Linked DNA regions of Saccharomyces cerevisiae S288C. The protein of the gene in region 1 interacts with the protein of each later gene in a pairwise test. Each region holds a gene or a part of one and is shown on either strand. Other genes may lie near its edges. The genes, in order: EMC5 and GPI18.

What was found.
Region 2: the proteins of EMC5 (region 1) and GPI18 interact in a protein complementation assay, tested with the Saccharomyces cerevisiae proteins (2 studies listed by BioGRID).

The regions. Positions count from the first base shown.
Region 1 is NC_001141.2:303,076-306,067, reverse strand, and holds EMC5 (Emc5p), read left to right. Parts: upstream 1-1,963; coding exon 1,964-2,389; downstream 2,390-2,992. Other genes in the region: cohesin subunit IRR1, read left to right, coding at 1-1,591. UniProt on the Saccharomyces cerevisiae protein: Part of the endoplasmic reticulum membrane protein complex (EMC) that enables the energy-independent insertion into endoplasmic reticulum membranes of newly synthesized membrane proteins.
Region 2 is NC_001134.8:243,527-247,267, reverse strand, and holds GPI18 (GPI-anchor transamidase GPI18), read left to right. Parts: upstream 1-1,600; coding exon 1,601-2,902; downstream 2,903-3,741. Other genes in the region: UGA2 (succinate-semialdehyde dehydrogenase (NAD(P)(+))), read right to left, coding at 1-258; RCR1 (Rcr1p), read right to left, coding at 721-1,362; COQ1 (trans-hexaprenyltranstransferase), read right to left, coding at 3,038-3,741. UniProt on the Saccharomyces cerevisiae protein: Mannosyltransferase involved in glycosylphosphatidylinositol-anchor biosynthesis. Responsible for the transfer of the second mannose to the glycosylphosphatidylinositol during GPI precursor assembly.

The DNA.
Region 1 (2,992 bases):
AAACTCGGCCAATAATAACAGCGATGACGAGGATGTTGACGATGAGGAATTGGACATCACTCCATTGTTTCCCATTGACAGAAATAGCACTATTTTATATCTGAACGTATTCCACGGTCTGTGTGCAGGTGCCAACAACCCCAAAATCCAAACTAAGGACAGCGTTAAGGAAATAGTTTTGCCTTTATTCTACGATTTGTTGAATGCCGCATCCATCGAATCTGCTGATATTCTGTGTCCTCTCCTAGAGAGCTTTATCACATTTTCTCTGGATGATTGGATATCTATTGGATATGAAACTGAATTAAAAAAAATTACCGACAAAACTATTAAAGCATTTATGGATTCTACAATCGGGAATTCAAAAGTTGACATGAAGTACGATATATTTGCTAAATTCATTCACCATATCCATCATTTTGAAAAAAAGGAACTGCAGGAAAAATTTTTAAACCAGATAGCTACATTGAAAATTCATTTAAAAAAATTTCTACAGGAAAAAATGGATCCAAATAATTCTAGGGACGACTACAAAGATTTAACTTGTTCTTTGTACGAGCTCTACATCAATAAACTGACAATTCTTGGCAGGGATTACCCAATCGAGGTTGATGAAGAGTTGTTGCAACTGTTTTTGAACAATTTTGTTTCCCGTATCCCTATAATGTTTCAAGATTTTGATGATAGTACCGCTCAAGAAATAAACTTTAAAATGCTAGTGTTATTAGCCACATGGAATCTGGAAAAATGGAGAGAAATAATAGAGAAAGTAAGGGATTACGAGAATTCTATTTCAAAAGATCTTAGATCAGTTTGGAAACCAATTGCCGCTATAATAGGTCGTCTAAACACACTCGTTATTTCATTGGCGGCTACAAACGAAACATTTGAAAACATAAACAGCTTGTTTTACTTAAAATGGTCAGCTTGCACTTCATTAATGGATATAATCGTTGCAATAAAAATATTTGAGCTCAAATTGCCTGCAGACGCTACAACATGGAGATATAGTATGAGTGAACAATTTCCATTTTACCTTCACGATAATGCTTCCAAAGTGCTTTTGAAAATATTTTTATATTTGGAGAGTCTTTTCGCTAAGCAAGTTGACGTCCAATTAGAAAGGGTAGCAGATGAAGACGCCAACCTAAATGATTTGCCGGAAACCGGGTTTTTCGAGAATATTGAAACTGAATTCCTTTTATTCACAGTTAAATTGAAGGGACTAATGAAACTGAATATTTTAGATGAACGATTTGCTTCCCGTGTGGCACTAAACAAAGAAAAGCTTGGCCCGCTGTTCAAAAAAATCGTAGATGATACCATAATGGAAAATCCAGAACCTAATAAAAAGAACATACAGAAAGCAAAATCAAATCAAACACAGAGGGAAAAAGCGCCTTTACAACCCAACAGTGAACGAGAAACCGACCATGCAAATACTGAAAATAATGATCCAGATATTCCCATGACAATCGATCTAGAACCTATTGAAGAAAGTTCGCAAAATAATTCAGAGTTAGCACCAATTGAGGAACACCCAACCGTGGTAGATGCTATAGACAACAGCGACGAAATCACACAAGATTAAGGGAAAAGATATACGTCAGACTTATTGCTCTTTTGTAAAACAATAAGATCTATAATATATATCACATCTTTCTTTTGAACATACATAGCTTCGTTAGCAGTTTTTGATTAATCATAAATACTTCAAATATCCCTTCGCATTAGACTATACTCGCTGGATGATATTCGGCTATGTATTTTCCAAGCCCATTCAATCGTCATCAAAGCGCCCTTTGCTTCTTCGAAAACTCGCGATGTAAACGCAGCGCAGAAAAATCTACTTTTGAATATAAAATAAAGTCAACTCAGATAGTTGTTATGCATGTTAATTGTAGCATCTAAAAAGCGATCGTAATTAAGCCCTACCGAGATACAAAAAAGCAATTATCAAGAGATGTCGTTTGTTTCCAAGCTTCTCTATACAGTCTCTGCATTGGTGTTATTTCATTCTGGTTTCTCAAGCTATGAGTTTCATCACTTATTAAAACTTAACTCGCTTAATAATGCACAAGGTGCAATCAGCAAGTTACCTAAAGATATCATGTATGAAACGTATGCAGGATTGATACTCTTTGTTCTTGCAGTGTTCACTTCGTTCGAGAAATTACAATATTTACCAATTGAGAGTAACGATGGGAAGATAATATCCCAAGGAAACTATCTAAAAGAAATCGCATTAAATAAAGCCACCAACGTGGATAACTTGATAGGAAGTAACCCTAATGGTGAGATCATATTTACTCCAAGCTTTGTTGACGTTCATATGAAGAGAAAAATTTGCAGGGAATGGGCCTCTAACACTGTAAAAAAAGAAAAATAAATAAGATACTGAAAACTAGAGCTAGAACTTATAATTTCATACATATATACATATCAAGATCTAATAAGAGGATTAGCTAGATTTTGAGCATAAATTCGATAGCGAATCTACTCGAACATCGTAACTGCACAAAATAAGGCGTCAGGTGACCAGGCACCTCTTCTATTTACACCAACACAGACGCCTTTCATAGAGGAATAGAAAGCTATATTAGAATCACCAATAATGCAAGCGTCTCCTGTGTTCTATAACGTGAACCATAAGCTTGAGTGGTTTCAAAAGGATTACGGGGCGGATAGTATCTTTTGCGTCTTCGTTGGATAGTTTGTTATTAAGATACATAAATACACACTAAATTTAGTGGTAAAATCTTCTATTCAATATTATCGAGAGTCTCGGTTTGAGGGCTAACACTCTAATGGATAACCGTTCGGAATATTTCTATTCCAGTTTACATAGTATAAGTACGATATTCATCCTCATGTTAGCGTAAGTGGAACTTGTTCAAATCATCCTGAGGTACAGACAAGCCCTTATTGATGATTCATTCTGTTATTTCAGGAACAGGTAATAGTTCTCCACCACTTGAACGCCCATGCTAGT
Region 2 (3,741 bases), on another chromosome or scaffold:
CATGTTTCTGAGCCACTTTGCCCTCTCTCTTGGTGTTGTATTCTTGTACGTCTTGAAAGTTTCATAGGCAACATCAATCGCTTCCTCAACCACGGAGACTGGTTGTTCGGGAACTCTTGCTATGATTTCGCCGGAAGCAGGGTCTACCACCTCAAAAACTTCGTCAGTGCCCTTAACCCATTTTCCGTCAATATAACCAGATTCTCTGAATAAATTAGGGTCGTTTAGAGTTGGTTTAGAATACTTACTCAAAGTCATGTTGAAATAGTAGTTTGTAAAATTTGCTTTTAATGTAGCTGGTTTTCTAGCTTAATTGATCAAATAAGAACAGAACAATAAAGGACGTTGCGAAATAATATCTATTGATCTCTGACGAGTATTTATACCCTATTTCCTCTCCATTACTGATGGTGATGTGATGTGATGTGGTGCTATCTTGTCACCCTTAATCCATTGGCCGCCTTTGCTAATCCCGCGCGCATTTTCCCTTTATCACCACCACGCCGTGCGATGGACTTGAAGTATTTACTATTGATAAAATAATACTGAGAGATTAAAGACAATGTACTGAATATAAACTATAGCACTTCAACGACCGCGGGCCTGAAGCGGATTAGGAATTAAAATAATTATTATAGAGATTGGGTAAAAAAATGTAAATATTTCTGGCAAAATATTGTAACTCAACTGTAAGAGGACAGCCGGAAAAAAAGATTCAGTTCATGACCTTGCATTTACCTTTGCCCTCTCCGGTGGGTTAATTTCCTGCGTTGTAGTCCCGCCCGGAAGCCTTTCCAATTGCTCCACCGTATCACTTACAGCTGGAACGCGCCCATTGCTAGGCCTTGTTAAACCGTAATCCGTATCTAAAGAGTTAGCTTGGTGAACTACAGCAGCGGGAGGTCTTTCTAAAGAATTAACAGATTCTGATGAACATTCTTGTACCAATGGCGGGGGGGCCACGTATGCAGCCTTATCGTTGGGGTGAAACTCGCCCCGCTGGTCATAGTATCCAAGATCATGTTCGTTCGCTGTTTCTGTATACTCAGGAACATAATCATCTGTCCGTTGCTGAACGGTCCCAGTATATTGTTGCTGAGACTGTCTGTATGAAGGCGGTGTCAACCATGCCGTACCTCTAATGGGAGCACGCCCCATCCTTCGTCTCCTTCTGTTCGCTACAAAAGTGAACAGTATTATAAGGATTACTGCGGCAACAAACAGCACAAACAAAATCCATATTCCTGACTGCCATGACGACGATGATGGCCCATAGTAACTAGTCACAAATTTGCTAACGTGATGGTTATCTGCCTTTTTCACCTCGTTTATCGCCTCATTTTCGTATGAAATAAGTCCCATTCCTTATTCTTAATTCGAGTTATACTTTCCTATTTATTGGAATGATCAATAAGCTATTACAGGTGCCTTTTCTGCATGAGCTTCCTGTCGGTCATTTAAATACTTAAAATAGAAAATCCCTTTTAAATCAAACTTTTTTTTTCAAGGCTTAGTTGAAAAAAAAAGTAAGCCTCATCATCGAAAAAAGACATAAAAGAGAGGCTTCGAGAGAGGAGGCGGAATAAGACTAAATTAAAATATGATTGTGGGGTTGACACTTTATTTTGTATTATTCCGTTCAATACAGTATTTACTGGTTTTTTTGACTCCAATTAGGCAGTTTGATACATCAACATCACTTTTATTAAACGAATTATGTTCTTCTCCCTCTGAAATCAACAGTTATTGGAACAAGTATTTTTGGAATAAGCTACTATCATGGGACAGTGTTTTTTTTATCAAGAACATAACTTCCAAAAACGGAAAACCTCAATTTGAGCATGAATACGCGTTTTCTCAGTTGTGGACTTTTTTCGTTAGGCTGTTTATTAAAAGTAATAACGATAGCATCTACCATGCCTTAAGGGTTGGAGTTGCAATAGAAAATGTTTTATTTTACTTGTCAGGTATTGTTTTATATTTTCTAACAAAAAAAATTTTCAGCCAAAATATAAGGCAATCACAGTTTGCTAGAACTATCGCTAAAAAAACATCTCTGTTGTTTTTCTTAACGAGTGCCGCTGGATTTTTAACAAGCATATATTCTGAACCATTATCTTTTTTTTTTGCATTTGTTGGTATTTGGAGTCGTGAATGCTCCATTTCCGTGCCCGTATTGGGTCAATTCGATATTTCGTGGAGATATTGGTTTCCTTACTCCTTTATCAGCATGGCTTGCTTTACCTTAGCATCCTTGAATCGTTCAAACTGTGTTTTGTTAGGGATTTACTTTATTTTTGACCTTATTGAACTAACAAAGAACAGGAAGTTTGTAAAAGCAATATGTTTCCCACTATTATCAGGATCATTAATGTTTTCTGCTCTACTATATCAACAATATTACCTACCATATAAGACATTTTGTCCTCAAAGGGGTGAATGGTGTAAATCTCAATTGTTTTCAAGCATTTTTATCACGAAAACTTCTTTATATTCCTACATTCAGAGTCATTATTGGGGAGTTGGGTTATTGAAATACTGGACCCCAAACAACATCCCAAACTTTTTGTTTGCTGTCCCAAATATTATTATTTTAATCTATTCCTCCATATATTTCAGCAAAATTTATCCCTCCTATAACTTGAAGGCTCTCGTATGGATCACCAGAGCACTGGTCGTCATAGTATGCTTTTTTGCCCATGTCCAAATTCTGAATCGTATAGCCTCCTTTTTACCCTTGCACCTTTGGTATTTGGCTGATAGATTGGTTAAAACTTCTGATCCAAAAAAAATGGAAAATCCGAAAGGTGACGATAAGATAGTCAAGTTTTACATATACTGGTTGGCATTCTGGATACCTTTACAGACTATCCTATTTGCAGCTTTTTTACCACCAGCCTGATCCTTAATGCTTGTATATTTCTTCTTTTACTAAAAACATATAAAAACTATTTACATATAGAATATAGAATAATGCGACACTATGACCTTCTTCATTTTCTCTTTATTCTTCACCCTTTATTTGAAATTTCAAGGTTTACTTTCTTCTTGTTAGTATACTATTAGTTAAAAACTCTAGGGCAGAACGAGCATCAGATTCAGGAAGAGAATCCCGTAGATTTTGTAATGCCTTGTCCCTATATTCCTCCGCTAGTATTTTCGTCTTCGCTATACCATTATGGAGTCTCACAGAATCAATAGTTTTTTCAACATCACCCCTCTCTGAAAAATTGCGTGAAATTAGTGGACCTAAAGATGGGTCTTCTTTCCATGCAAACAAGACTGGAGCAGTAGCAATACCTAATTTTAGATCCGCGCCGGATGGCTTCCCTAAATCTTTTCCAGACACAGTAAAATCAAGCATATCATCTACGAGTTGGAAACATATACCTAGATTTCTACCGAAATCATAGCATTCGTCGATAACGGCAGGTGATGCCCCAGATAATATAGCAGCACATCTGCAAGATTTTGATATCAAAGCAGCAGTCTTCAGATAGGTCTTGTGTATGTAGTATTCAAATGCAGTTTCTATAATCTGATCATGAGATAATTGCAGCCCCTGTTGGCGGCTTGGAACACGAAAGTCGTGCTCTTTAACTTCAAGCTTTTTAGAAGGAACCGGAAGTAGCTTATGGCCATTTTCGATGGTATCGATATCCGCGTCAATGGAAGTATTTTTCAGTTGCATGAACTCACCTTCGACAAGATTCGCAATACTATTAGACATTAGTTCTACGA